Tamandua tetradactyla: one gene and its partners. The protein of the gene in region 1 purifies or fractionates together with the protein of each later gene. This does not show direct contact. Links are inferred from orthologs where the notes say so. Each region holds a gene or a part of one and is shown on either strand. Other genes may lie near its edges.

What was found.
Region 2: the proteins of GPN3 (region 1) and POLR2M purify together in Homo sapiens (affinity purification with mass spectrometry; 3 studies listed by BioGRID and IntAct, counting the BioPlex papers as one, with this or other methods). This does not show direct contact. The link is inferred for Tamandua tetradactyla from reciprocal best matches to the Homo sapiens genes GPN3 and POLR2M.
Region 3: the proteins of GPN3 (region 1) and POLR3D purify together in Homo sapiens (affinity purification with mass spectrometry; 3 studies listed by BioGRID and IntAct, counting the BioPlex papers as one, with this or other methods). This does not show direct contact. The link is inferred for Tamandua tetradactyla from reciprocal best matches to the Homo sapiens genes GPN3 and POLR3D.
Region 4: the proteins of GPN3 (region 1) and POLR3B purify together in Homo sapiens (affinity purification with mass spectrometry; 3 studies listed by BioGRID and IntAct, counting the BioPlex papers as one, with this or other methods). This does not show direct contact. The link is inferred for Tamandua tetradactyla from reciprocal best matches to the Homo sapiens genes GPN3 and POLR3B.

What each region holds. Positions count from the first base shown.
Region 1 is NC_135331.1:11,199,923-11,207,596, reverse strand, and holds the start of GPN3 (GPN-loop GTPase 3), read left to right. Parts: upstream 1-4,208; 5' UTR 4,209-4,744; coding exon 4,745-4,792; intron 4,793-7,674. Other genes in the region: protein FAM216A, read right to left, coding at 2,252-2,292, 3,880-3,971. UniProt on the Homo sapiens protein: Small GTPase required for proper localization of RNA polymerase II (RNAPII). May act at an RNAP assembly step prior to nuclear import.
Region 2 is NC_135340.1:73,288,443-73,296,833, forward strand, and holds the start of POLR2M (protein GRINL1A), read left to right. Parts: upstream 1-5,028; 5' UTR 5,029-5,162; coding exon 5,163-5,275; intron 5,276-5,613; exon of another isoform or gene 5,614-5,901; coding exon of another isoform or gene 5,902-5,993; intron 5,994-7,139; coding exon 7,140-7,787; intron 7,788-8,391.
Region 3 is NC_135329.1:22,877,285-22,885,170, forward strand, and holds the start of POLR3D (DNA-directed RNA polymerase III subunit RPC4), read left to right. Parts: upstream 1-4,713; 5' UTR 4,714-4,840; intron 4,841-5,100; 5' UTR 5,101-5,105; coding exon 5,106-5,270; intron 5,271-6,175; coding exon 6,176-6,219; intron 6,220-6,813; coding exon 6,814-6,965; intron 6,966-7,126; coding exon 7,127-7,251; intron 7,252-7,597; coding exon 7,598-7,766; intron 7,767-7,886. UniProt on the Homo sapiens protein: DNA-dependent RNA polymerase catalyzes the transcription of DNA into RNA using the four ribonucleoside triphosphates as substrates.
Region 4 is NC_135333.1:22,886,387-22,893,985, reverse strand, and holds the start of POLR3B (DNA-directed RNA polymerase III subunit RPC2), read right to left. Parts: upstream 3,535-7,599; 5' UTR 3,313-3,534; coding exon 3,241-3,312; intron 3,059-3,240; exon of another isoform or gene 2,857-3,058; intron 2,037-2,856; exon of another isoform or gene 1,302-2,036; intron 1-1,301. UniProt on the Homo sapiens protein: Catalytic core component of RNA polymerase III (Pol III), a DNA-dependent RNA polymerase which synthesizes small non-coding RNAs using the four ribonucleoside triphosphates as substrates.

The DNA of each region.
Region 1 (7,674 bases):
GGCACATTAATCATCTTAAAAGGGCTCTTACTGGCCAAATCTATGATTTGAACATCAAAATAAATAATAATAGTAAAGGATAGTAACCTATTAACTAAAAGTAAGAATCCATGAGTCCACACTGATATATAAATAAATATAGGTATGAAGAAGTAAATGGCAATGAAAGGAAAGCTCTTCCTTATAATAAAAAACCAACTGCCAATTGTAAAATGAGTGATAGAATTAGAAAATCCCCATTTTCTAGCCATCATAATAACTGATTCAGTCAAGAGCCATAAATGGATGACAAAACTAATGAAGGAAGGTTTGAGGAATTACAGGATATATTTATGTTACAAGTATATTCCCACAAGATACTTTTACAAACAGTAAAATAGTTACTTTACAGTGCTGAAACCTGGCAAACATCGCCTGAACCAAATTATCAAGATTAACATTGTCAATAATGGGACTAATTGACAGCATGTCCCTCCTGATAGGATGAACCAAGACAAACTCATCCTAATTTCTGTGGTATTCCTGTTAAAAATGCATAATCTGAATCTCACCAAGTGAAAACATCACACAAATCCCAACTGAGGGAAATGCTACAAAAGAAGTGGCTTGTCCTCTCCAAAACTGTCAGAGAAAGACTCAGGAACTATGCCAGACTGAGGAAACTAAGAAACCTGACAACTGAAAGCCATGCTTCGTCTTGGATTTTTTTTTCTTATCAAGGAATTATTGGAACAACAGTCAAAATCTGAATTAAATCTGTAGATTAGATAATAGCATCATTCAAATTTCCTGATTTTGATAATTATTTTGTGAGATACATAAATGTAGGTAAGATAATCCCTTTAAAAAAAAGACATACAATTTCTAATATTTAGTAATAAAGGGGCATCCATCATGTCTGCAAGTTACTCTTGAGCATTTCAGAATAAACATTTATGTACATATATAATAGTGAATATTCGGGAGAATCAGAGGGAAAAGATAAAAGGGATCTTGAAATTCTATGTACCATTTTCTCAACTTTTCTGTAAATGTATAAGTCAAAATATTTTAAATGTTTTAAAGTTGCTAATTTTGATAAACTGTCCTACATTATTACAGAAATGTAGTTTATTGTCAGGGTAGATAGTTAAGTTGTTACTTTAAAATGGGTTTAAAAATGGGTTTAGCTCATTGTCTTGAAGTCTGCCAAATTTTAGCGATGGTAAATCAGTTTCAAATAATATCTAGATCCCCTGTCAGGAGTTGACTGTAGTATTTGTAATAGGATGAGACCTTAAGTCCAAATACAGAGGAACACAAATAAAGCACTTGTTGAGTACTGGCCTTCACCCGTCCATCCACCTGATTAAACAGTAATACACTTCAGTTGTAGATTTGTGAAGTATACTGGTTCTAAAAAATATAATAAAAATCCTTTAATCTCACCATTCTGTAGTAACTATTTAAAAACACTTTGATACATTGTTTTTCATGGCTTCTTCTAGACGTATATGTATGTTGTTTTTATATGAACATGGTCCTACATGGTCCTTTTCATTTTTATTTTGAATATTTGTTTAGAGCTTTTGCTTTTATATAATTGAGTAAGTCTACCTCATAAACTAATAATTGTTAAAATTTCTTCTATAGACAAACTATTTCCTTCCACATCAAAAGAATGTATTAATTTTTGTGTATTTTATCTATTTTTAACTTTAATTCAGCAAGACTGTGAAGTAGGAAACTATAACTACTGTACTTTTATATATACTTAAGGTCAGTAAATTCCACTTCTATCCCACCCCCCAAAAAAAGCAATTAGGGAGAGGACTTTGGTAGCCTATCTTAATCTCTTAACTGCAGCAGAGAAGTGAGTACTTTGAAAACACCAACCTTTACTTCAAGTAAGAAGAAAATAACATTGAGAAGTACTGTATGTGCTTTAAAGCTGTTTAAATTCAGAATTTTTCCCTTTAATCTGTGTATAAACCCCTGACTGTGCCCTGTGCTTTTAAACCAACCTCAAGTATAAACACAGTTCTTTTTCGGTTCAGTGCTAATCTTCAAATACCTTTTTAAAAATGCTTGATGTGAGATACATTAACAGGAGGGAAAGAACCTCCTGCGTTCTTCCAAAACATCTTAAAAGACCTAAATTCACCAATTCTGCAAATAATCTATTTTTAAGACGCCATTGTGTAAGTAATTAGGTAAACTGGCTTCTCTGAACATGTTATTTATAGGTATCTATTCTGTATGCAGTACTCACCAGTACCTTTGGAATTCTGATAAAAAGAATGTCCAGCTGATCTGTTTTAAAAAAGAATGCAAATATACAATAATTAACAGCTTTAAAGAAAGTACTTAAAATGACAAAAGGGACAGTATTGCAGATGCTTGTCACTTTTCCTGTTTCCATCAAACATAATGTCTTACAAATATTCTTTTGTAATTCTTGTTAAATCCTAACAGCTCCAGGCTTTTTTGAAAAGTGTGTGATATATGATTTTTTTAACCATATTACAAAGAATTTACTTTAAACCAGATTTGTTTTTACTTTTATAGCCTATAATCTAATTTGTACAATGAGTTCGATAAAGTGGTTTAGGCTTCTGTGCTAACCATGAGACATTTTCTTGCTCTCTTTCCCTTTAATAAAGTAATTTGGGCATTGAAAATGCTTAGTCTTTACGTAATTAAGTGCTGGAACTGATACAAGTTCTTTTTTCTTTTCTCAAATTAAGTTGAAACAGAAATACCCCTTCTTCCCTCTTCCCACAGTTTATTCATTCACCAAAAATTTATTGATCTCCTGATACACTAGGATCCAGCACTTTGCTAAACACTGTGAAGAACAAAAAAGAAACACATCCAGCTTTAAGAAGTCGTCCACCTCCAGATATAAAAAAGATGGTAGGGTACCATACCAGGAGATGGGAAGAAGGGGAAATGAAGAGTTTTTGCTTATTGGGTACAGTGCTTCTGTTTGGGGTGCTGAAAAAATTTTGGAGACAGATAGTGATGATTGCACACCATTGTGAATATGATTAGTGCCACTGAATTGTACGCTTAAAAATGGTTAAAATGGCAGACTGTGTTATATACATGAATAACTACAATATTAAAATGTTTTTTTTTAAGGGTGAAACAGGAAAAAGGAAAAGAAAAAAAAAAAGACAGCAATGATGCCATGACTATGGGCTGCATCTGACAGCGAATACCCCACAACTCTCGCTTTTAGGGAATAATGGGGAGAGCAGACGAGGAGGTATTTTAGAGCAGAGGCCGGCAGCAGTGACTTCAGTAGCTATTTGTCTTCACCATTCAGGAAATAATTGTTCAAAAACAGCTAAAAATGAAATGGATTTAAAAAGGAGACTTCTGAGCGAAGAAAATATCTCACGAGCAAGGTGCCTCTAAATGCTAATACTGCCATCAGGCTCACCGGCGATTATGAGCCCCCATTTGTAGGAATGGTGGCCCATGCCACACACAAGAAACTGATTTATCGACATGGAACCCCTCCGTAGAGCCGGGCACGTTTTCTCCCTACCCGGTTCCCCGCTGGCCTCGCCTGCAGATACTGATGGGGCCAGACGGCAAGGTTTCCAACGGGCTTCGCAGCGCCTCCTCGAGGCAGAAAGATGCACCTAGGCAGGCGACTGTCGCAGTCCCGCGTTTAGTCAGTACACCAAACCCTCCCCCGAAGCCCTTCCCCTAAACCGTGAGCGCCTCCATATTTCCCATCCCGACCACAACAAACGTTTCCCCTCCGCTCACTTCAGTACACCGGGGCCCAGTTCCTCCGCGGAGCAGCCAGCTCCCACCCACTACTAGACAGGGGGTCGCGACGCGGGCTGGCCGCCGTCCCCCAGCCCCGCAGGACCCCAAGCCTACCCGCCTTCGCCACCCTCGGTCCCGGCCACCGCGGGCGACTGTGCAGAGGAGCCGCACTCGGTCCAGTCGGACGCGGGACCCTGGCCCGGCATCTCCTCCCGGAGCCCCGGCACGAGCGGTGTGAGGAGCGGCTCTCCCCTCTCCTCTCCCCGTCAGCACGCGTGCGTCAGGCGGCGGAGGTACTGGGGCGAAGAGGCGGACGCGGGTTTCTAGACCCCCTCCGAGGCGGCCCGGACACAGCCCGAGTAGCTTCGGGAGCGCCAAGAGGGCAGACCCACAATCCTGGAGCTAAACTGGGGGGTGGCGGGAGGGCTTTAGTTGATTGCGCGTTTGCACGTTTTCGTTTGTATTTTTCGTGGAAGGGATGCGTCACAAGAAAGGAAACACACGTGCTCCCTAAAATAGGAGGTGCCCTCCGCCTCAGTATTCCAGACTCTCAGCAAATTCGCAAATATTGGGTGTCAGTATATAGGCCAAACAGCAGTGCGCAAACCAAGGACCACAGCCCGGCGCAGCTAAGCTGAGCGTTTTGCGTTATCCATTATATCACTTAGGCAACCAGCCGTCACCAGGCTCCAAACCGCCGAATTTCGGCACTTATTTGTGCGCACGCGCCAGCGCCAGCGCCGCGGCCCCGCCCCTCAGAGATTCCCTCAAGAAGCGCTTCACAAGAAGTTCGGCACTCGGGACTCTCCGTAGTGAGAGGTGTGGCAGAACCGTAAACGCCCAAGGGACTTGAATTGTGATTGGTCGGGTTTGTGGTGTTCCCGGAATTCAGCTGGCGTCGCGCGAAGGCTGGAGGGAGCATATAGGTCAGAATCTTAGTTCTGTGTGGCCGGCGTCCCTGGGAGCCTGGAGCCCTGAAATGCCTCGGTATGCTCAGCTCGTCATGGGCCCCGCAGGCAGCGGGAAGGTGAGAATTTTGAGCGAGGAGGGGAGAAAAGTCGGAGGTTCCTGGGTAGTGGGGTGTTCGGGTCCTGAGGGAGGGGGCGGCGGGTGTATATTGGGGAACCTGAGATTCTGAGCACCTAGCTTCTGTTTCTGGACTTCAGTGCCTTATTGTTTAGTTTTGAAAAGGGAGTCATAGTAATTGCTAATATTTATTGGATCTCTCAGCCCGAAGTACTGCTCTAAATGACTCGTTTATTTCCCACGGCAACCTTACGAGGTAGGTGCTGTTATTTCGAACATTTCTATAATCTTCAGAGAGCAAGATTTAGACTCACAGCCTTTGACAGGCAGCTGTATTTGGCTAGAATTAAAAGCACTTTAAAGTTGCATTTAATGTTACAGTTACCTTCAAGTTTTGATAAAATATAATTAGCTTACTATTTACAACAGATAAAACTTTTTCTTGTAAAGAAAATATTAATATTAGGGGCACTCAAATATGGCAGACAGGTGATGCTAGAGCTCAAGTAACAGAAGTTTGGGAAACACTAGAATCTGTGGAGGTGTTTTATGGCTTCAGTTTTTAATTTAACAAGCATATGATTCTGACCCATTGTCCTATTGTGGGTACAAGGAATATACATGTGACTAAGATATGTCTCGCGTCTACCCAGAGCCTGCAGTCTATTTTGAAAGACCCATAGGTGACTAGTTATTTAAAATACACTCTGATGCATAGAAAGGGCAAAGGTAACAGTATGTATAAAGGCATTGAGGAGAAAGCATGAAAGAAATTATTTCTGTATTACAGATTAATTAAAAAAAATTTTATTGTAAAAAATAAAACTTTTTTTTATTTTTATATATACAAAGCAAAGAAAGAAAAAAAGCAATAATTTTCAAAGCACACTTCAACAAGTAGTTACAGAATAGATCCCAGAGTTTGTCATGGGCTACTATTCCACCATATATTCCAGATTAATTTTTGGACTGATTGTGATCAGTACTATCCTTCATTCCTTCATACAGCAAGTTTTTGATGCTTACTGTCATAAATACTCATTGGGCATGTTCTTTGTGCCAAGCATTGTTCTAGACCCTGGGGATTTCATGGGGAACAAAACATATATACAAAATATACCTGCCCTTGAGGACCTTATATTCAAACGTATTTTTTAATTAAGTCAGTCAATTAAAAATAATGGTTGTTTTAGTTTTTAAGCTGCCAGTATGCAGTGTACTAGAAACGGAGTGGCTTTTTAAAAAGATAATTTAAGTTGCAAGTTTAGAGTTCTAAGGCCGTGAAAATGTCCAAAATAAAGCATCCAGGGAAAAATACTGTGCTAGTTTGAAAGGATTATGTATCCTAGGAAAGCCATGTTTTAATCCTGATCCATCCCGTGATGGCAGCCGTTGCTTTTTTTTTTTTTTAGATGGGTAGGCACCGGGAATCGAACCCAGGTCCTCAGGCATGGCAGGAGAGCGCTCTTACCTGCTGAGCCACTGTGGCCTGCCCGCAGCCGTTGCTTTTAATCTCTGTTCAGTACTATAGTTTGGAAACCTGATTAGATTATATCCACAGAGGTGTGGGTTACCCAATTATGGGTATTAACTTTTTATTAGAGAGAGATGTGATTCCATCCATTCCAGGTGGGTCTTGATTAGTTTACTGGAAACCTTTAAAAGAGGAAATATTTTGGAGAGAGTAAAGAACAGAGCCATGAGAACCAGGAGAGCCCACACACCCAGAGACCTGTGGAGATGAAGAAGGAAAATGCCCCTGGGGAAGTTTGATGAAACAAGAAGCTTGGAGAGAAAGCTAGCCGACATCACCATGTTTCCCATGTGGCTTTCCAGTTGAGAGAGAAACCCTGAACGTCATCAGCCTTCTTGAACTAAGGTATCTTTCCCTGGATGCCTTAGATTGGACATTTCTATAGCCTTGCTTTAATTTGGACATTTTTGCAGCTTTAGAACTGTAAACTTGCAACTTATTTAATTCCCCCTTTTAAAAGCTGTTCCATTTCTGGTATATCACATTCCGGCAGCTAGCAAACTAGAACGGATACTTTCATTGAAGAAAGGCTGATTGGGTCCAGAACACCTCTGTCAGCTGGAAAGGAACATGGTGACATCTGCTAGCCTTCTCTCCTGGCTTCTCATTTTATAAGGATTCCCTGAGGGTGTTCTTCTGCATCTCCAAAGATGTCTGGCTGTGTGCGCTCTCTCAGCTCTTTCCATAGTGGTTCCCTCTTAAAGGGCTCCAGCAAGCAATCCCACCTTGAATGGTTGGAGACGCATCTCCATGGAAACCATCTAATCAAAAAGTTACCACCCACAATTGGGCGGGTCATATCTCCATGGAAACAATCAGAAAGGTCCCCCCAGCAATATTAAATGAGGATTAAAAGAGATGTTTTTTCTGGGGTACATAATAGCTTCAAACCTGCACAGTGATCAAATAATTATGTACCAGATGCTGTGATAGTCCCTTAGTTTATAAAACTGAGTAAGACACATCCCTTTCTCTTAATAGTGAGGTAGACAGCGAAGTAACATGGCAACTTTAACAAAGTGTAATGACTACATGAGGGCTAAAGATTCTCTAAACCAGAAGTTGCAAACTGATGGCCCACCTCAAGACTATGTATTGATCTCAATGTTCCCTTATTGGATAACCTTCCCCCAGATCGGCAAGCACATTCCCATCTTTCATATCTTGTCCCATATATCCCCTCTTCAGAGACATTGTCCCTGATACCCTACCTAAAGCTTTGTTTAGACTGTGCAAGTGCTAGTAGAGATACTACATGTGCTGAATAATCCAAAATCTTCCCTTTAAATTCAACTTTTAGGACATTAGAGCAAAAGGAGCCTTAATAATCGTGGAGGCCATTCTAGTTA
Region 2 (8,391 bases), on another chromosome or scaffold:
GGTACAAGTTCTGTAATTTTTCGTAAATGCCCAAGCCAGAATACCTAGACCTTTAGGCAAGAAGGCAGTAATCTGGCAGCTACAACAGAAATAAAACAAGTAACCTAACCATAAAGTTTACCATGTTCATAATGCAAATGAAGGAAGGAAAATTAGATTTTCTTTTAAAGCTGTCTGACAGCAGTTTAGAGAAAAAGGGCTGATTTGACTACAAGTAAGGAGATCTATTGCAAGTTTCAATCAAGGGTTTGGGTGAAGGGTATATGGGGGTAGGGGGTGTTCAAACGGGTGACAGGAGGGAGAGTGTAGATAGAAGAAAGTGTTTAGATTTCAATAGTATTTAGGTTGTAGGATTTGGTGCCCAGCTGTATGTGTGGGGCCAGGGGCTAGGGACAGGTGAGGGAAAAGGAATAGCCAGGTATGAATGCCTAGTTTCTGGCTTGGGTACCATTGAAGAGTTGAGTGGGGAAGGGAAATATAAATCAGTTCAGTTTGGACACACTGATTCTGAGAAGCCTTTTGGACATCCGGGGGATACGTACACACTTCGGATGCACAATGTAATAATTTCACTTATCAAGTGAGAACACCCATATAACCATCACCACAATAAAGATAATGAACATATCCAACACTCCCCCAAATTTAATCCTGCTCTTTGATAACCTCCCTCCAGCCACTCTGTGCCACCCCACAGCTTCAGGCAATTGGTGATTTACTTTCTGTCATTATAGATTAGGTTGAACTTTTTAGAATTTTATACAAATGAAACCATACCGTGTGCACTTTTTTGGGGGGGGGTTCCTTTCACTTAGTATAATTATTTTGAGATTCACTGATTTTGTTGTACGTACCATAGTATTCAATTTTATGGCTATACCACAAACTGTGTATCTATCCACCTGTTGCTAGACATTTGGGCTGTTTCCACTTTGGGGCTATTACAAATAAAGGTGCTACGAATATAAATACAAGTCTTTGTACAAACATAGGCATTCATTTCTCTTGTGCAAATACCTAGCAGAAGAATGGTTAGGTTATATGGTAGATGTATATTTAATTTTTGAAGAAAGCAGCAAACTGTTTTCCAAAATGGAATCACCTAAAGGCTAGCTCTCCCACATGCCTAGTAGTGGACGCTGTCTGTGGCTTAGAACCTCAAATGGGGCTGGCAGCCAAAACACCTACCCAAACTCAGCCTCCTTCACAATCCGTAGCTGGATTCCAAGAGCAATAGGCAGAAGCTGAATTGCGTTTTTTGTTTGTTTGTTTGTTTTGCTTGTTTTTTGCATGGGCAGGCACGGGGAATCGAACCCAGGTCTCTGGCATGGCAAGCAAGAACTCTGCCTGCTGAGCCACTGTGGCCCACTTGAAGCTGAATTGCCTTTTATCACATAGCCTAGAAAATCACTTTTGCTATTGTTACAAGTGCATCCAGATTCAAGGGTAGGAGAGATGGACCGCATTTCTTGACAAGAGGAGTTTTAAAGTTAAATATAAGAAGAACATGTGGGATGGGAGATAGTCTTGCTGCCATTTTGCTCAACACCACGTGTGCTGTGGCCAGTTTTAAGGCCACTTGTGCTCCAAACTAACAACCAATGGGAGGAGACAGAGAAGAGCAGCTGAAGATTCTGGAGAACTTTTATCAATTTCACGATTGGCTCTTTTTTTTATCTTTAACTCTGTAAGGACAAATGCAAACCATTACCGGGGGAGTTTTTATCATGTTCGAACAAAGTGCTTGTGCCATTTGGTGGCAAGAGGATGGCTAAGTGATCCTGGTAGCCCTTCGCACAACTAATGAGCTTTTCCCTTCCTTTCTTTTTCTTCATTTTAATTGTTTTTCTTCCTTTCTAATACACCCAGTTTTATTCGTTACTGTGAAAGCAATTAACACTCAAGAGATTAAGTTCCACTGGGAAGGTGACTTGGATTTTTTTTAAAAAGAGCATTAAAAAACAAAAACAAATGAAAATCAAAACCCCCATCCAGATTCCATTTTATAACAGATGGGCTCTTTATCAAAATTATTGTGATATGCAGTTGGAATTCTTTAGCAGAGATTAGTTGTCTGTGGTATGTGGGCACCATTTCCTCTCAAATGTTTGCCTGGAAACAGGTAAAAACCATGGCACTTGTCCCTCTCTTTGTTCATTTCTCCATTGTTAAATTTTCCCATTTTGTATTCTTTTTCCCAGACACTAATGTTAAAGTCTGTAATCTAAATATTTAGTTTTCATTGTTTTTGTTTGATGTATTATAAAAGAATACTTTGCCTATTTTCATTTTGAAGTCCAAATGCTTTTGTTTCAGGATGATGTTTTCCTAACACGAAACATCAATCCAAGAGAATTAGATGGTTTGTACATGGGTATTGTTAGTGTGCTGGTTTGAAAGGATGTATGTACACTAGAAAAGCCATGTTTTAATCCTAATTCCATTCTGTAAAGGCAGCCATTTCTTCTAATCCCTATTCATTACTGTATGTTTGAATATGTAGTTAGATCATCTCCCTGGAGCTGTGACTCAATCAAGAGTGGTTGTTAAACTGGATTAGGTGGAGACCTGTCTCTTCCATTTGGGGGGGTCTTTATTAGTTTACTGGAATCCTATAAAGCAGAACGACAAGAGAGAAAGCAGGGAGGTTCGGAGAGAGCAGAACGACACAAGAAGCAGGGAGCCCACCAGCCAGCGGCCTTTGGAGATGAAGAAGGAAAATGCCTCCCGGGGAGCTTCATGAAACAGGAACCTAGGAGAGAAAGCTAGCAGATGATGCCATGTTCGCCATGTGCTCTTCCACTTGAGAGAGAAACCCTGAACTTCATCACACTTCTTGAATCAAGGTATCTTTCCCTGGATGCCTTAGACTGGACATTTCTATAGACTTGCTTTAATTGGGACATTTTCTTGGCCTTAGAACTGTAAACTAGCAACTTATTAAATTCCCCTTTTTAAAAGTCATTCCGTTTCTGGTATATTACTTTCTGGCAGCTAGCAAACTAGAACAGTTAGGAATTCAGATTTGTATTATGACATCTTGTTATGTAAGAGATTCTATCCCATACCACTGAAAATATTTATAGTAATTATAGTTAATCCTTATATTCTTACATACACTAAAGGGACATTTTATTAAGAGAAAGAGGAATATCAGGGAGAAAGGAGAGAGAAAAATGATGAGAGAAGGAGATTCCACCAATTAATACCTGCTATATGAGTTAAGGGAGACAAAAAAGTCCTAGCATAGTTCCCCAACAGAAAGGACTTTACAACTTAGTTAGGAAGGGGAGATATCTTACCAGGTATAGCACAATTATTAGAGAGGCATAATAAGCTGTTCAGTGAGGTTCTGGATTTAAGCACTATAATTGTGTTAAAAGAAAGAGCAAGTTGGTTTGGAATAATCCAAGAGTCAGGGAGGAGATGAAGCTTTAGGCAAGATTTGTAATTGGCAAAGAGAAAAGGGACAGCCTTCCACAAGAGGGAAACAGCAAAGGGTAAAGTTCTGAGGCTTGAAAGAAAGGCATCTTTGCTTTATGGACCCTGGGGACCAAGGATCAGTGGATGGGGATTCACTGCTATGGGGGAATAAAGGGTCAGCTTGAACCTAGGGGAAGGATGAGGAGATCTTGGGGGAACTTGCCTGGGGACAACCTCCTGATCAAGTATTTCTTATCATGCTAGGACCAGAACAGGTTTCTGAAGTTCTTGAAAGCAAGGATTATACTAAGAAAATTTATTTTGGTACACTATTTAATCTGATCAGAATGAACTAAACTGGGGAGATACAAAATGGCTGAAAATGTGATTCTTTGAATAACTCCAAAATTCAGCTAGAGCTTTTGTCTGATTGAAAAGGAGTTGCTGGAGGTTGGGTTTATATAACACCTTACGGGGGTTTGAAGAAACCTCAATTTTCCATATCAAAAATGAGGTCTATGTGTGGAGGTGTAGTTTAGACAATCTGCTGTGACTCTTGCATACTTCTTACCCTTTCTTTTGGGAGACAGCTCTGATAGCTAAACTATAAGGAAAGGTGAGAGCAGGGTGTGAGGCTTATTACACTTGCCATCTTTTCAACAATTGGGGAAAAATTTTTTTCACCGATGTTATACACTTGGAAATAGGCCTAAAGTGAAGAAGGGGATTCTCCAGTTGGTGTGGTAGAAAGAGCAATTGGGCATTTGTGTTTGAATTCCGGTGCTGTCCCTGGTATTGTGCCTTAGAAATAGTTACCATAATTGTTGTCTCTGTTTTTATATTGGCAAAAAAGGGAATTGCTTTGTACAGTCTCGCAACCCCCTCCCCTTGCACCCCATCACCACTCTTAGCGGCCTTTGCTAAGGTTTTTGGCGGCGCTTTGGATTAGTTCAAAGAATTGGGAGTGCCATGACAACTAGTGCCCAGAAGCTAGGGATACCAAATATCCTGCAATGCCTGGGACATTGCCACAAATAAAGAATGTTCGGTCCCCAACGCACAGAGCCCTATTAAGAAGGGATGATGGTCTCTAAATAACTTCCCAATGCTACAACTTCACTAAGCTTTGAGCTAAGAGGATCCACATCATAGACCAGGCCCTTGAAAACCCAACCCCATCAATGGCTAACTCAACTTTCAGGTTCCAAATTTTACTTCTTAGAGATACTTCCCCTGATGTCCATCTCGAATTTACTATTAAATTGTCTTGCTCTCTGTTAGTACTTGCTGCCATTCGCCACATCGAAATGAAAATAGTGGCCGTGGCTATGTGCCCACTAATATATAGCGTTTGGTGAGGTCACAGTTGCATTCCATAAATTTTTTGCATAAACATGAAAAACGGTGGCACTCAATAAATACTTTAGATGTAAACAAATGAATAGGCGACGAAAAGACAAGCCAGCAAACGGCGCGAAAAGGGAACTCGGCCGAGGCGCTGACGTCACTCGCAACTTCCGCCTCTTTCCGCTCCTCCCGGCGCCCCCTTCTCCTTGTCTGTGTTTGTTTCCGGCGTTTCAATAAAGCTCGATTCGGCTCGAAGGAGACTCGTTCTTCCGGGAAGATGGCGTCTCCCGCTCGTGCCCCGGAGTCGCCGCCGGCTGCGGGTCTGGCGCTAGCGGCGAGGTCTGGTGAGGAAGCCGACTGCCCGCCGCCTCGCCAGCCTCAGCCCCAGCAGAATGTCCTCGCTGCCCCGCGGCTTCGAGCCCCAGGCTCTCGAGGACTTGGGGCAGCGGAGTTTGGCGGAGCTGCGGGAGATGTTGAAGCGCCAGGAGAGACTTTTGCGCAACGAGTAAGCTTGGGTCCTGCCGGGTCACTGCCAGGCTCTTTTGGTCCCGGCTCCCTGGGAAGCTCCTCCCCACCCCGGGGTTCCCTTCCCGGGAAGGTGACCTTGTCTCAGATTCATTTCTGCCCCACAGGCGAGGGGACAGTCTGCAGCCGCAAAACTGCACCGCATTACGGCCAGTCACGCACTAGTCACACTGCCGGATGAGTAGGGTACTGGACTTGTGTTTTATCGTTTGAGCTGTTCATTACCACCTTGTTGGTTTTCTTTATCCAGGTGTTGTGGCGAATCCTTGAAGGAAAGGTCTGTGCTATAAACTCTTTCTGTGTCCCCCCTCTCCCCACAACTGGTGCCCAGTACAGTAAAGGCTCAATATCTTGTGAATTTCATCTCAAAATCTTTCTTTCACGAACTCTAGGAAGTGGGAGAAGTGGGATATGAAGAATGGTTTATTAAGCCGAGAAAGTTTGAACTCTCACTCAACCAGGGTAGTAATATAATAAGTAATTTTTTTTTTAAGGAAACTTCATTTAGCAGCTAAGTGGAGGATGGTTTGAAGGAATAAAAGGTTTAAGGCAATAGGAGGATATTTTCAGATAGGTTCCCAACAAGGGGATTTCTTAAGAAAGCGAATGAGAACGGTGGCCATGAGATGGAGAAAATTACATCAAGCATGGGATAATTTGAATATGTTGTTTCCAGCGTCCATGCTGGAAGTTTCCAGGTAAACCATTGCCAAAACTAGGAAAATTGGGGGAGGAGAAAAGGTCCAGGTTGAATTTGCTTAGAATGAGTTGAGGGAAGGGCTGAACAGACATTGAGTTAATTATGTCTAGTTAAAAGCTGGAGAAGTGGTCGTGGGGCTCTAGAGAGGAGACTGGAAAAATAGGGGAGTCTCAACTGCAGAGAAGTGTTAATAGTTGAAACTGGGAATGAATGTGGAGAAAGAAAAGAGGGCCTGAGATGTAACTTTTCCTTCCCGTGTATTATATAGCTAAAGAGAAAGGGAAATGGAAAAAAGACTCCACTCAGCAAAAAGGAAAAAATAATCATTTGGCACCTTCCTAATAGATAGGTGTTTTGATTTTGTGAGAGTGGACTTTTTAATGTATAATTCTCTTAACTTTTTCCTCTTAAACATAATTGACAATCCCGAAGAGCTCTTATATCTCTTATATCTATCAGTATTTATGTTTATTAGGAATTACAACAGAGAAATCTTTAAAACACAAAAATATACAAGCATACGTTCCACTAGTCATCACATCACAAAACCTTTGGGAAGCCCTACCCATATGCGAGCATGGGAGTGAAATAGTAAAAAAATGTCTTAGTATTTTTTTTTGTATGCTCTGTGGTGGGATCACATTTCATTATTTTTCCATGTGAGTATCCTGTTATTGTAGCACCATTTGTTGAATTTTTGTTTGTTTGTTTTTTGGAAAGTGCATGGACCGGGAATTGAACCCAGGTCTCCTGCATGGCAGGTGAGAATTCTATCACTGAACTGCCCTTGCACTCCTGTCTTAGTATTTTTATGAAAATAGTTTTGACCTTGCAGACAAGATGGCCTTGGGGACCACATTTTAAAAACTGTTACAATATGGGAATGCTTTGTGTTGTTATTGTATACTTAAATTACTTTTCTGCAGTTCTAGCTAGATGAGACAAAAATTATTCTCTATTCTTCCAGCAGAGTATTTGGGTAATGTCTTAATTTGTTTCATTCTTGTGTGGGGCAGTTGGAAATCAAATTTTTTGTTTAAAAGCCAGTTTTTCTCCTTTTGAGGATAATGCTCTGTTTTTTAAATTCCCATCTTGGGGTTAAAAACATGCCAGTGATGTATACTTGTTCTTTTCCATTTGACAGAAAATTCATTTGCAAATTGCCCGACAAAGGTAAAAAGATCTTAGACTGTGCTGCCAGACTGAAAGCAGCCCTTGCCGAACGTGAAGAATTTAGAGGAAAAAGCGAACTGTTTCATCCCGTTAGATTAGGCTGTAAACCAAGGCAAACTGTGGTTGTAGCAGTTGATGTGGACACAGATAAGACCCAGAATTCTGATCAGATACTTGATACTTCATCACTAATTCCTAACTGTTCCTCTGTGGATAACATCAAGTCATCTAAAACAACCTCACAAAAACAGGGAATTGCAGATCTCACTAACAAAAGCGATGAAGAGACCACAGAGGCAAAGTGCACAGTGAACGAGAGCCCAGGGTCGAGCGTCAGAATCGGTGCAACTTTCTCATCTATAGCTAGTGAGCATCTTCCTCAGCGTTGTGTTTCAGGTCAAGCAGAAGATATTTCCAGCAGCTCTGACAGCCTGTTTATTGATAGATTACAGAAGATCACAATTACAGACCAAGGTGAACACGGCTCTGAAGAAAACACAAGCACTACTAACTTGACAGATCTTCATAGCAGGACTCAGAAGAAGCCCCATTACGTGGAAGTGCTAGAAATGCGAGCCAAAAATCCAGTGCCCCCACTACATAAATTTAAAACAAATATGTAAGTACCATTGGAAATAGATCTAGCATAGGAACAATATTTGTTAGAATTTTTTTTTTTAAGGAGGGAATTTGGGCTTTGTGTGAAAACTACTTGTAGTTAGGAATGAATGTGTTTTGGAAATAGAGCAACATGACTGGAATGGACAATTCATGTTGAAAAGTAGTATTTAGTATTTTATAGCCAAGTAATTAAAAAGGTTTTAAGTAACGGAGGAGTGTTAAATTTCTTGATATGTAGCCAATTTTTCATAATAAAACATAATTAGAGTTGGAGAGTTTACTGTGACTTTTTTTCTAGAACCATTTTTTAGTACACAAAAACAGCTTCCCCTTAAACTAAGCTAAAGGAAAAGTAGTTGCAGGAGCTGATAAAGATATTCTCAGCCAAAAATGCTTGAATGCTCATGTTTCCTAAGTTAGTGGTTTTACCACCTCCTTGGTTTTTTCCTCCCAAAGTGTCTTCCTTACCTTATTCCCATGTTTGATAGTCATGAAGACTGTGACCTTAATCTCTCCTTAATCATTGTCTTCATCCTCTCTGTCAAAGTGAAGGCTCTCGTCCCTCTATAATTATGGCCAAAGTGATACTGTAAAATGCAAAT
Region 3 (7,886 bases), on another chromosome or scaffold:
GGTCCTCTGGTGGTGACTCTTAGGCCTAATTTTAAGTAGGCTTAGTGTTTCCTTTGCAGGGATAAGTTTCATAGGAACAAACCCCAAGATTGAGGGCTCAGCCTATTGATTTGGTTATTCCCACTGCTTGCGAGAATATCGGGAGTTCTCCAGATGGGGAAGTTGAATTTTCCCCGTTTCTCCCCATTCCCCCAAGGGGACTTGGCAAATATTTTTTTATTCACTGTTCAAATCACTCTGGGATTTATTGGGGCATCACTCTGGGATTTATCAGGGCATTCCTCTGGACAAGCCTATATAATCTCAGGCCCTATTTAAGGTTCCATGTACTTATGGTGTTCAATTAAACTGTCCACATAAGTTATATTAGGAGATGCACTAGTCAAAATATAAATTTTGGACAAAATAAACACTTTTTCCTTTTGTCTCACACATAAGTTAAAGTTTTAAAATACGAACTACCATCTACTTTCAACACCCTGCAACACTGACATTCCTTTGTTCTTCCTCATGCAAAAAAAACATTTTTAACTTTGTACATCTAGTTACTACCAGAGTTAATGAATTTTAAAAGTCTGTATTTATCAGGTGGTAATAAATGCTATGGAGAAAAGTCGGTCAGTAAATAAGACAGGTGATGTCATGGGGGAGTGGGAGTTACAACTTTGAAGACAAAATGTCAAAAGTGACTTTGGAGTAATAGACCTGGATGAAGGGAGAAAGTGAGCTGTGCAGAAGTATGTGGTGGGCTCTAGAGCATTCCAGGTAGCAGGTGCAGAAGCCCTGGAGGAGGAACACGCCTGATCTCTTCCAGAAACAGCAAGGAGGCCAGCGTGGCAGGAGCAGTCAGTGAGGGGAGTGTGGCAGGAATGGTGGCCAGGGAGATGACAGATGGAGGGGCACCTTATGCAGGGCTTTGCAGAAAGCCCTGGTGTTCACTCTGAAATGGGAGGCCACTGGGAAGTTGAGACATGATCTGCTGTGAAATATATTACTTATGCTCTATTGAGACTAGACCGAGGGCCCAGGTGGAAGCAGGGAGGCCAGTTGGAAGCTACTGTAATAATCTCAACAAAAGATGTGATGGTGGCCTCGAGCAGGGTAGTGTGTCACTGAAGGGTGAGACGTAGTAAGATTCTGGATATATTTGGAAGGTAGAGCTGCCATAAAAAAATGTTAGGCCTGAGAGAAATAGAGGAGTTAAAAAAAGAGGAATTTTTTTTTTTTAACCTGAACAACCAGAAGGATGGTGTGGCCATTTTCCTAAGATGCAAAAACTTTGGGAAGTTTGAGGAGGAAGATCAAAAGTTTGAACTTAAACATAAATTTAAGAACCCTAGCAAATATCTTAGTTAAGGCTGAAATAGGCAGAGATATACCTCTGGAGTTCAGAGAGTTCTAGGCTGGAGATACATATTTAAGAGCTATTTGTAAACGTACACGGTTTGAAGCCAGGAAAATAAGGGAGGAGTTCCAAGAACTGAATCCTAAAATTTTCCCATATTAAGAGGCTGAAGAGTTGAGGAACCAAGAAAGGAGAATGAGAAGGAATGGCCTCCAAAATGAATCAAATTAGGGTAAATTTCATGTCGAGAACATGTAATAGCCCAATCTTAGGTACTGCTCTCCTACTATATATTCCCTTTATTCTACTAATACATATTCAAAGCAGTTGCTTATTCATTTAGTATTTTCAATGCCCATCACGAATTCACAGGAATTGGCTTTTGACAGAAACTGTTTAGACCTTCTAAAACCTGTATTTAGACCCAGAAAATTATGAAATGTTCCCAAGAGTTCGACTACTAGTTTCATTATCTATCAGAAAAGAATGGTTATTGTCTTTTCCTATAAGATATATGTAAATAAAATGCAATAAAATGTTGATAATAAAAATATCTGCTAGACTCATATGTTACATAGGCTTCTGTGGCTAATAATTTACAAGCTTGAGGCTAGATAAAAGAATGAACACTTCAGAGAAAACAGAGAGCTCTGGGATTAAGTAAAGAAAGAAAGCAGAATGGTGAAGGCAAATTATAGAACCATATATGAAATAACTCAACCTAAAAAAATACATGCATAGGAAAAACAGCTTCAAGTATACAAAACAGGTGATGGTATAACATTAGCAGATTTTAATTCTCTGCCTTTTAAAATTTTCAGAATTTCCTACAATGAATAAGCATCTTTTTTTTTTTTTCAGGTTGAACTATACTTTTATTTTACTCCATCAGCTGACATTAAGGGATAATACAATAAAAAATGAAACAAGACTCAGAGTTCTTGAAATGTTGTTGGGAATACAGTTCACAGGACCACACAGTGTTTGCTTCTTAGGGACTCAAACACATTTTATTTGAAGCCTCACAATCAGATAAATTGTGCTTCTTACCAGCAACTGGTTTATTCTCATATCATAAACCTGTAACTGATCAGTGAATAAGCATCTTTGTAAAAACAAAACAAAACAAAAATTTAAGAGCTGCTAAAAGCTTGGTGAACCTCAAAGTCCAGAGAAACAAACTGGAGCAATTTCATCTGGTACTCCAGTCAGAGACTCAGGGCTAAAACAAACAAACAAACAAATAAATAAATAAATAAAATATAATAAATTTTTTTAAAAAGGAAACCGAGGGCTGTTATGTGTAGCTCTGTAGGGAACAGGAAGGGTTTTCGTTTGGTTTGGTTATCATACAACTAATATGGAGAAAAGATATTGAAAAAATCTGGATAGAAACCAACATAACAAAATAGTAATATAATATTAATATATTGTTAAATTGGTAAAAATGAAGTTTAAAAATTTTAACTCAAAATGATGTGGTAAATTATGTATATGTATACGCACATTTTTTAGTGGTGATGCACAAACATTTTGAAAGAAATTTATAACATGGATGAAGAACCACAAAATGCTCATGTTCATAATAGTATAGCCACTGTGGAAAACAGTTTGGCAGTTTTTTATAAAATTGAGCATGCAACTACCATATGACCCATTAATTATACTCTTAGGCATTTATCCCAGAGAAATGAAAAACGTTATGTTTACACAAAAACCCATACACAGCAGCTTTATTTCTAACGCCCCAAACTGGCAACGACCTGTTCACAGCAGTTTTATTTGCTATAGCCAGATATCCTTCAAAGGGTGAATGATGAAAGAAACTGATACAGCCATACTATGGATACTCAGCAATAAATAATAAGGAACTACTGTTGCATGCAACAAATTGGAAAATCTCCAGGGAATTTTGTTGAGTGGAAAAAGCAATTTTAAGAAGTTATATAGAATAGTTACATAATATTCTTGAAATAACCAAATTATAGAAATGGAGAGCAGATTAATAGTTACCAGGGAGGGGGATGGTGGTGAAATGGATGTGGCTATGAAAGGGCGAAACAAGAGATACTTGCGGTGATGGAAATGTTTTGTGTCTAGACTATATCAGCGTCAATATTCTGAGTGTGATATTGCACTATTGTTTTATAAGACGCTACTATTGAGGCAAACTAAGTAAGCAATACTTGGGATCTCTCAGCACTATTTCTTAAGACTACATGCGTCTACCATTATCTCAAAATAAAAAGATGACTTCTAAAAAACTGCAAGTACTCTTTAGGCCACTAATCCCAGGTCTGGAGATTTGTGCTAAGGAAACAATTCCAAAGAAGAATGTTGAATGCACCCAATGTTCAAAGAAGCATTATTTACAACAAAGAGTGAAACAATCGAATGTTCAAATAATAGGGAAATCGGACATAATGATATATCCACTCCACGGAGAATATCTAAATCATTTGGATACAACAACAAAGAAATGTTATTTGAAAAAGGAGGATACAGAATTGTGGGACAATATGACGGAAGCGTGAAATATATTACACACATTTTGATAGCAGTATTCTAGGTGGAATTCTAATAGAAATGTTTTCCTTTCCCCAAACTTTCTGTAACGTTGTTACATGGTTTTTTATACGGTGTGTGTGTGAGGGAGCACATTATTTATTTTTACGTTAAACCACAAGCGCTAGAGTCACAGTAAAAGTTCTTTACATTCGCCCCTCCTGCAGAGCAAACTTTCAGGTTCCATGCAAGCACAGGCGCACGCAGCCCTAAGCCCAGCCTGGGTGCTACTGGGCACCTGGCTTGCCCGCGGCAGCTGCTTCGCCAACCTCGCACAGCCCCACCCCACGACCCTACCAGGAGTTCAGAGAAGGGTCGTCGGAGCGAGGGCGAGGCCACTGCCTAGAGGTGCAGTGACCACTCCAAGGTCACCATCCAGAGCCCGCGGCCGCAATGGAGACTGCTACGGCCCGGCGCGGGCCTGGGTTCTGGCCTGGGTTCCCCCGACTTCGAGTCCAGGTCTCGCTCTCTGCCCCGCGCCCCTCGCCCCACCCCGAAGCGCGACCCCAACTGCTCCGAGGCGGCTGATTCCCACATTGTGCTCTGGCGACCGCCAGCGCCCCAGACCCTGAGCAGCGCCCCAGACCCTGAGCTCGGCGCCTCCACTCCCCGCCCCAGGCCGGACCCCCGAGCGCTGCACCGTGGCGGAACCTAGACCCAACCCCTCATCCTTTTTCGCCCTCTCAACCCAGCTTTTCCCGACTCCGGGAAGAACCGGGAAGAGAAGGCAGAGCTGCGCGAGGCGCCGCTTGATAAATACTGTGGCCCGGCCCCGCCCACCGAACCTCACTTCCGCCCCGCGGCAAGATGGCGGCGCCCGGGCGCTGCCACGCAGACTTCCGCCCAGCGTGGAAACTGAGGGCCCGCTACGGGCGGCGGCGGAGGTGAAGTGACGCGCGTGGTGTGGAGTCGCAGTTCGGGTGCTCTAGGGTGCGTCCCTGACTCAGGCCTGGCCAGACCCCCTAGGGAGACGGCGAGTCGCGACAGGCTAAGATCGAGAGCCAAAGCCTTGAGCCGGGTGGTCCAGGGAGTCTCGCCACGTGGGAGGGGGAGGAGCTGATGCGCGTCCGCAGGGACGCACTGACTGGGGGGCGGGAGCCACGTGGGTGGGGTTCCGCCCACGGTTCGCGTGTCCAACCCGTCGAGTGACCTCGTTGCTCCTTTCCCCCCTTTTCCCCCTTCTCTCCCAGGCAACATGTCGGAAGGAAACGCCGCGGGCGAGCCCAGCACCCCGGGAGGTCCCCGACCTCTTCTCTCTGGGGCCCGGGGGCTTATCGGGAGGCGGCCGGCGCCCCCCCTTACCCCGGGCCGTCTTCCCTCCATCCGTTCCAGGGACCTCACCCTCGGGGGAGTCAAGAAGGTACCCGACATCACCTTTTTGCAGAGAAACTCAACTATCTTGAATACAAGCCCCCTGAGATTCAAATAGTATTCATATAGGGCCTACTGTGTGCCAGGGCTCGTGTGGACCCCGTAAGAATCTTGTGCCTAGACTTCTGCTTATTCGTCTTTCAGTGCTGGGAAGCCTGTTGTACCTTCAAGTCTAGTTGTTTGGAACAAGGTGTTGAGAGAATTCCCAGAGTGGCTGGAGGGCAGAGGATCCTCATTAGTCCAAGACGTTCAGAGGCAATTTGAGCGTGTTTCTTTTACTGTATATTTCGGACACCTTTGAGAAGCCCATGAAAAGCAAGCATAATGAATCAAACATGACATTAGATGCTTTGTATCCTTGGCCATTATGTTAGTGCTTATTGATGTAAATTAAATGTAGCCCTGAAGAGGGAAAAAAATGACAGAAGCATAAAATAGCCTGTTGTGAAGGACTTAATTTTGTCTTGGAGAATTCTGGTGGTAGAATTCTAACTATCTTGAACCTTGCTGCTAGAGCTGTTTTCCTATGAAACTGACTGGTCTCTAAAGCTGTTTGAAGACAAGAGGTGAGACTAGATAAGTTTCTTCGCTTTTAGAAGCCCAGGAGGCACTCCTTTTAGGGGACACAAGCTGAGGCTTCTAGTTAAAAATGACTTTGGTATCCAGTCATCCACTGGAATACCACTTATCCCATTTATCTAGGTAAATCCACTGCTGATGTTCCTTCTTTTCGGGTATGTTCCCATCTCTAAATCCCTGACAACAGTTTCCAATATGTGTAAGAGAACCATGGTGATCTTGGTCCTTAAAAGATGCCCTTTGGTAATTTTTCTTTTCGTCTGTACTTTGGGGTCAGAACTTATCAAATCAGTGACTCCTGTATTTTACTTTCAGAAAACCTTCACCCCAAACATCATCAGTCGGAAGATTAAGGAAGAGTAAGTAGCTAGGCTTTCTGAATAACTACCCCTGATTTACATTCTCTGAATTTGGGGATTCTGGGATACAACTAGATATGTGGCTCAAGAACTTAAACTTAGGAGTTTCAACCCTGGCTCCCAGGTGATTCTTATGTACAAGCCTTTAAAAAAATGATGCATAAGACTCTATCCCTAAAAATCGTGATTTAACTTGTTAGCAGTGGAATGGAGTGATTCTCATATATAGCCAGAGATAAGAACCACCAGTTTAGACAAAGATGTATCAAGTTATCCCTTAAGTTCCTTACCATTATAACCTTCCTGTTTTCAGTCAGTGCAAAAAAATCTACATTTGGGGGTAGCTTCTATAGTTCAGGTTTTGAGTTATGATTCTGATATATACTGTTAACAAAAATTAAAGTAAAGAAAACAGGACCCTGCCCTATTGAGCAAGTGAAAAACTGAGACTGAGGATTGGGTTCTCCACCTTATAATGAAGTTGTTGGCTTATAAACGCGCTGCTCAGTTAGAGTGGAATGGTATGAGAGAGTTAGGCCAGTTCTCTGAGGCAGGGTGAGTGAGTGGTTTCTTTTAATCCACTCCCTTTTCCAGGCCAAAGGAAGAAGTAACTGTCAAAAAGGAGAAGCGTGAAAGAGATAGAGACCGACAGCGAGAAGGGCATGGACGGGGCCGGGGTCGTCCAGAAGTGATCCAGTCCCACTCCATCTTTGAGCAGGGCCCAGCTGAAATGATGAAGAAAAAAGGTATAAGACTGTTGGGGCTCTGGGAGGAAGGAATGGATGGAGGATTTCAGTTCAGAATGCTTAAGAGAAGGACAAAGACAATGTTATTTCCTTGCTTCCAGTTAGTTTTCCTTGTTGCTGGCATCTTCTTTATCCTTGGTGAATTGGGTGATTTCCCACAGGGAATTGGGATAAAACAGTGGATGTGTCAGACATGGGGCCTTCTCATATCATCAACATCAAAAAAGAGAAGAGGGAGACGGATGAAGAAACAAAACAAATCCTGCGCATGCTGGAAAAGGATGACGTAGGTACCAGGGAACTGGGGAGAAAGGGCTTCTGTGTGGCTGTGGAAAAGAACTTTTGGGGAGCAAGAGTTAGAAGAAGATGAGCATTGTTGTTGTTGTTAATTTTTTTATTAATTAAAAAAAATTTTTTTTGAAGTATGATAAGAAACAAACATTCTTAACATATGATCATTCTGTTCTACATATATAATCAGTAATTCACAATATCATCACATAGTTGCATATTCAGAAGATGAGCTTTTTGATGTCCTGTTGAGCAGCAGGACTCTGATTAGAAAAGAACTCGAGTGGATTCCAGTATAACTACTGGTCTAGCTCTTTGTGACCTCTCTGACTCTTTGGCAGTTCATCGATGACCCTGGGCTGAGGAATGACACTCGAAACATGCCTGTGCAGTTGCCTCTGGCTCACTCAGGGTGGCTTTTTAAGGAAGAGAATGAAGAACCAGATGTTAAACCTTTGCTGGCTGGTCCCAAGGAAGAGGACATGGAAGTGGATGTCCCTGTTATGAAAGGTATTCTGTGTCAGTTAACTTCTCATTGCCTTTTCTTTGGCCACCCCTCAGAAGTCTGTATAGAACCTAACAAACTGTTATTAATAAGTAGGTCCTCTTCCATCCCAGTTATAAAATGTA
Region 4 (7,599 bases), on another chromosome or scaffold:
GTTTTTCAAGAAAGAGGTCAGGCAAAACTGAGCTATGATAGCAGAAACCAAAATGTGGTTGGAGAAAGAAGGTCAGAAGGGAACTTTCTGTGGTGGTGGAAATGTTCTATATCTTGTTTTGGGTGGTAGTTATTAGGGTATACACAAGAGTCAAAATTTGCCTAACTGAACAGTTATTATCTGTACGCTTTATCATGTGGAATTATAACTGTTTGAAAAAAAGAAGAGAAGTGGCAACTGGGTCAAAAACTCCTCATTAGTTCCTCAACTTCCTCTCCCATACCTTCAGATTTCTCTCCTTATACCTATCCTCTTACCTTATTTTCTCCAGCATCAAAGGAAGAAAGTGTCCATTCCCCAGTCTAAGGCTAACACTTCTACCTGGACTCTCAAACCCACCTTTCCAATCTTTTCCAGGACTAAAACCTCGCCCTATTAACAGTCCTTCCCTTCCCTCGATGTTCAAACTCTCCTGGATACTGGCTTCATCCTTTCACCCTGAAACAGCTCAAAACTTTCTCTTTTCTTCTCCTGCTCTTCAGCTTACTAACTTCCCAACAAGTAGTCAGAGAGGACCTTCTCTGTTCCTCATTTTTCTTTCCTTCTTCTACCAATTACAGTCAAGATTCTGACCCATCTACTAACGAAACTGCTCTAGCAAATGTCACCAATGTTTCCAATATTCCAATTCCAATTCCAAAGAGCTCCCCTCAGCCTTTCCACAGCAGTCGGCCATGTTGACCACTCCCTTCTTGTAACGCTCCTGTGACAACATTCTCTTCTAATGCCTTTCCTACCTCTGAGAATGCCTTCTTGGTCTTCCTTTCCTCTGCCTACTCTGCAAATGTTGGTATCCTCAAAGTTCTATCCCTGGACACTTCTTTTCTCACTCCCAAGTGTGCTGGGTGTGAAGGATTTGAAAGACCACTTGTTTAACATCCCCATTTCAAGATCTCCCACCTCCCTCCCCAGTTACAAATGTAAGCACTTTCAAGGACAGTGACCCTGACTACCTTATTTACCACAGTGCCAGGAGCATAAAAGATCTGCAATAGATAATGAATGAATAAATGAATAAGTGAGTAAATATCACAGCTACAGTGACCCACAAGGTATGAATATGTCTCCTCCAACTGTTTACCAGGCAGCAACACCTTAAGGGCTCAGGAACTACTCAAACTCAATACACCCAAAATTAGATCCCCCAACTTACCCCTTCCTTTCAGCCTGCCCTATTCCCAATCTCAGCGAACAACATCATTTATACAGTCATTACCAATTAAAACCCCAGGGAGTCCTACCTCTCAGATGCTTCTTGATCAGTTGGAGAACAAGTTCCACTGTGTCCACCTCCTTTTAAATTTCCTCACATTCATCCTCTGCTACTGCAGCTGAGGCCCTCATAGTCTTTTACCTGGACTTCTGTGATATTTTCTTTTAAGTCTACTTTAAAGTTGCCATTTTCCCTCCATTCCATGACCAACACTCAAGCTAGAGTGATCTTTTCCATGTTCACAGCTGATCCTGTCATTCATCACCTTACCATTCTCCATTGCCTCCACACCATCCTCATGAAGTCTAAACTCTACAGCATAACGTCCTCTGTGGTCTCACCCCTGGATACTTCTCCAGCCTCACATCTTTCTCCCAAACCACATGAAACTACATGATGGGCTTTTTAATACTTTCAGGCTTTTGCTCATGGCGTCCCTTTTATTCAGAATGCCTCTCCCACCACAACACTTCATCCCCATCTGTTAAGACTCAGTTCGAGCATCACATTTTACCCATCAGTTGCAGTTGTAACAAAGACTTTCCCTTCTATCACAGAATCCACTATATGTTATTCCACATGTGTACATGTCTCCCCCTTTAACCCATAAACTCCTGGAAGACAGGGAGGGAGATTTTGAATTTGTACAATCCCTGGGAATGGTATGCTGCCTGGCCCACAGTAATCCCTCAATAAAATCTGTTCAATAAACAAGTGATTACATGACTCCAAAGCTGTGTTATTTCTCCTACCATGTTGCTATGATAGCATACAGAGTACAGAAAAATATATTAGGTATGGTTAACAGGCAAAATAGCACCTATGTAGGAAAACTTACAGAGAAAGCACTGAAGTAAATAAACATATCAATTTCCCAACTGAAAGGAAAAGTTATTTTCATTTGTTATTAAAGAAATTCTCTTATAAAGTACCGTCCCGATTCTTGTTAGTTCAACACTAAAATTATAGCTTTACTTCATAAAGCAAAAAATGCAGACAACACCCAGCAATAAAAAATGAGTAAAATGGCATTCTCTGAGTCCCTTAAAACCATTCTAGATACCATTGCTTTGGAAAAGGCAATAAAGTTACTCATCACATTCATTCAATCTAATTCATTCATTCATTCAATAAAAACATTTTACAGGTCAAGAACGGAGGACACACAACAAATAAGACAAACATATTCTAGTGGAAAGAAAAACTAAATGTTAGTCTCCAGAATGGAGAAGACACTATCGTAGCAAGTACTAAGGGGATCTAACATCTGGAAGAATCAAGGAAGGCCTCTGGAGGGAGTCATATGATAGATATCTAGGATTTAATCTACAAAGTGCAATGGTGGAAAAAGCGGCTGGAAAAGTAAGCAGCGGACAGACTGAGGAAAGCCTTGTAATCCTTCATAAAGACTTTAAATTTTGCTCTAAGATCAATGGGTAGAAATTGAAGAAGTTAAACCAAGGGAGAGACGTGACCATATTTGTGTGTTTAAACTGATGACTCTGGCTACAGAGCAGAAGACAGATTGGAGTGGGACAAGTCAAGATAGAAAGTAAAAGATTCAGACGATTTGGCTTTCGCACCACAGCTAGAGGACCTCATGAAAGTGGACTAAGCTCCCTGGGTCCTACTGTTTTTCTCGATATGTCTGAAAACGAAGAAGCAATAGGACCCCACAGGGTGGATACGAGAGCTAATCTTCTCGGACACAAACGAACAGGAGCTTGGAAGGGGTCCAACCCGAGCGCCATCGGAGGGCCTCTCGGCTTCCGTAACCACTGACAGCTCTCTGGGCTCACCCCTTCCACACGCTAGCGGCGGCCAACCAAGGAAAAGTATAAGCACGCGCAATGCTTTGAGCATGCGCGATGCCACCCGCCCGCCTCCCGTCCATAGCGAGAACTCTCCGGGCAACGCCTCCTTGAGCGTGTCCCGGGCCCTTCTGCAACCGCGTGCCGGGCGCTCACCTCTACGGTCGGGATCGGAGCCACCAGCTGCTCTGGGGTTAGGTTACCGAACTCTTCCCCTAGGACGTCCATGCTGCTAACGGCGAAAGAAATTCAGCCAGAACCTTCCAGCCCGCCTTCGCTGCACCAAATAAACTGCAGCACGCTTGGAGAACGGTGCGCGGAGGCCTAAACCGTCCCCGCTTGGACTGCTAGTCGGAGGTGCGACAGAAAGGTTCCGCCTGCATGTTGCCCGAACCTGCGGTGGAACCGGATGTGATTGCGGCGGAGCCGGAGAACTGCCCCCTCTGGTGTTGCTGGGAAGTCTAGGCCGGGTAGTCCTAACCCCCGGCCGTCGTGGGTTCTTTCCGTATTAGAGGTCAACAAAACATATTGGTTGTGTTTTTTAAAATAACTTCAGGGAAAGTGTAAACAGATGATTTGCGCAACTTGAGCCACCGAAGCAAATAATGCATTTAATTTATTCCAGGAGTAGTCACATTGTATAGTATGGGAAAATCGGACATTTCCCGACATCAACCGGGGGATTGGTTAAATGAATTAGAGTACGCGCGTGTCATGGGAGTGAGGAGGAGTTCACCACACTGGAGAGTAGAGCGTAACACGACAGTCATTAAGGCAGCGTTATGTACCAGACAGAAGACCCAGAAATAAATACATGTACAGGGCGAAATTTTGTATGAAAAGATGGTATTTTAATTCCGTAGGGGAAAAGATGACTTATTCAATAAATGACGGTGAACAGCTGATTAGTATTTTAAAAAATGTGCTTCTCGATAAATCTTGTACGGGTTAAATACTTAAATGTTAAAAAACCTCAGAAGAAAATGTTAAGTGAATATATTCATAACCTAGAGGTGATGAAAAGTCTTTAAAGGATGGCAACACAATCAAAAGGCACAAAGTAAAAATACTGGTAGATTTGATAATATTAAATAATTCTAAACGTTGTTTTATGATTCCATGAAAAATGAAATTTTTCCATATAGAATTTACAAAATTACCATAAATAGAGTTTTTTAAAAGTACTGGCTGGCGAGTCCCTTCCTTGGGCACGCCCACATTAACCTCTCTAACGTGTACTCTCTTTTTAATAAACTTCTCTTTTAATAAACTTTACTACTTATGCCTAAAAAAAAAAGTACTGGTTGGCAGAAGGCAATGTGTTGGTAGTGGTAATTGACAAGTGCATGCGAATCAACAGGAAAAAAAAACAACAGAAAAATCTAGGCAAAAGATATCAACAAGCAAAACATCATAAATATAAAAATATGTATAACTTCAGAATTAAAATGGAAACTAAATTCTTTTTTACCCATCGAATTGGTATGGATAAGATTTATAATATTAAATGTGGCCCAGAGTATGGACAAACAGGCACTCTCTTACTTTGTTGGTGAGAGAGCACATTGGTACAATATTTGTCATTTCTAGAGGGTAAAAATACATATATTTCCACTGACTCAGCAATTTAGTTGTTTAGATATTTAGTCCAAGGAGATTACTGAAAAGATACACAAATGTGGACAAACAAGGTGAACAGATTGCTCACTGAAGCATTATTTATAAAAACAAAATATTAGAAACAACCTAAATGTCCTCTGATGAATAATTGTAATTATGGGACCCCTAATTATATATTTGTAATTTGATGGATAAGCATCTATCAAATAATTATGGAAATATCTGTGTTTAATTTAGAAAGATGGCATCATCTACTGATAAGTGGGGATGGAAAAGAACAATGTGCTACATGAATAATATCCCAATTATATGTTACATGTATTTATAATGGGTAGAGTTATGAGAAAGGACTTTTAACTGGTTATCTCTGGAGGATGTGATTTACTGTTCTTCATTCTTTCCAGTAATGTTTAAATGTTTTACAATAAGCATGTGTAATTTTTATGATTGAAATAGTTTCTCTTTGGAGCTAAAAATCAGAAACATTGACATTTAAAAGAAAAAATGTAACATTTTAATACATGGAAAAGTTCTCAGTATAACGATAAGTGAGAAAAAGATGAATTAAAAATTGTAGATACACATGGTAAACTCAATTTGGTAATTTTTGATAGTTTGGATGTTCAACGCATATTTATTGATTTGTACTAAGACTCTGTATTAGTTAGGGTTCTCTAGAGAAACAGAATCAACAGGGAACACTCGCAAATGTAAAATTTATGAAAGTGTCTCACGTGACCGTGGGAACGCAGAGTCCAAAATCCACAGAGTAGGCTGTGAAGCCGACAATTCCTATGGAGGGTCTGGACAAACCTCACAGGAGAGGCTCACCAGCCGAAACAGGAAGAGCCTGTCTCTTCTGAATCTTCCTTATAATGCTTTCAGTGATTAGATTAAGCATCACTCATTGCAGAAGACATGCCCCTTTGGCTGATTACAAATGGAATCAGCTGTGGATGCAGCTGACATGATCATGATTTAATTCTGTGAAATGGCCTCATCACAACAGACAAGCCAGCACTTGCCCAACCACCACTTGGCCAAGTTGACAGATGAACCTGACCATGACAGACTCTTTGGTATGCAAGTATGTAAAAATATTAATTTGGTTATCTGCTACTGGTGAGACCAGAGATGATTTTATTCCTTTATTATTTTGTTTATTTTATTTATTTTTTTATTGTATAGTATAACATATATATAAAACAAATAAAAAAGCAATAGTTTTCAAAGCACTCGTCAACAAGTAGTTACCGGACAGATCCCAGAGTGTTTCATATGCTACCATACCATCCTCTCCAATTTTTACTTCTAGCTGCTCCAGAATATAGGAGGCAAGAAGACTTAAAAAAAATTTTTGTCACCATAATCGACTTTTCTTATTTTCTGTGAAAAATAATATATATACAAAACAGCAATAATTTCAAAGCACAGCATCACAATTAGTTGTAGAAAATATTTCAGAATTTGACATGGGTTACAAGTCCAAATTTTAGGTTTTTACTTTTAACTGCTCTAAGATACTGGAGACTAAAAGAGATCAATTTAGTGATTCAGTCATCATATTCATTTTGTTAAATCCTATCTTCTCTGTGTAACTCCACCATCACCTTCAATCTTTCTATCCCGTTCTTTAGGGGTGTTTGGGCTATAGCCATTCTAACATTTTCATGTCGGAAGGGTCTGTCACTAATACAGAGTAGGGAGATGGAACTATCTGATGTTCAGGAGAGGCTGAGCCATCTAGGTTTCATGACTTACCTGGTCCAGAGACTCATCTGGAAGTTGTAGGTTTCTGGAAAGTTACTCTAATGCCTGGAACCCTTGTGGAATCTTATATACTGCTCTAGGTGTTTTTTAGGATTGGCTGGAATGGTCCTTGTTGGGGTTTGGCAGGTTATGATAGGTAGCAATGTCTAACTGAAGCTTGCGTAAGAACAACCTCCAGAGTAGCCTCTTGATTCTATGTGAATTCTCTGCCGCTGATACTTTATTAGTTACTGTGCCGATTTGAAAGGATGTATGTATCCTAGAAAAGCCATGTTTTAATCCTAATCCTATTTTGTAAAGGCAGCCATTTCTTTTAATCCCTATTCAGCACTATGTATGCCTGAAACTTTAATTAGATCATCTCCCTGTAGATGTGACTCAATCAAGAGTGGTTATTGAACTGGATTAGGTGGAGAAGTGTCTTCACCCATTCCGGCTGGGTCTTGATTAGTTTACTGGAATACTATAAAAGAGGAAATCTTAGGGAGAAAGCCAGGAGATTCTGAGAGACCAGAGAATGGCATAGCCATGGGAAGTAGAGTCCACCAGTCGGTGATCTTTGGAAATGAAGAAGGAAAATGCCTCCTGGGGGAGTTTCATGAAAGGAAGCCAGGAGAGAAAGCTAGCAGATGACGCCATGTTCACCATGTGCCTTTCCAGATGAGAGAGAAAAACCCTGACCATGTTCCCATCTGCCTTCTCACTTGACAGAGAAACCCTGAACTTCGTCACCCTTCTTGAACCAAGGTATCTTCCTGGATGCCTTAGATTGGACATTTCTATAGACTGGTTTAATTGGTACATTCTCTCAGCCTTAGAACTGTAAACTAGCAACTTATTAAATTCCCCCTTTTAAAGCCATTCCATTTCTGGTATATTGAATTCCAGCAGCTAGCAAACTAGAACACTCACCTTGACTCTTGTCTGTCCCCACATTATTTACCTCTGCTGTTGCTGTGGTAGTGCTGATGTTTTCCTTTTAAACATAGCCCATAGCATGCAATAGTAGTTTTCCCCCTGTACCCTGGACTTAAACACTCTTTGTACATGAATCATACCTTTGAAGAAGTTCTTGAAAGAACTAATTTATATTTCTAGTGTTACTCAATAGGACTCATAGGTCTG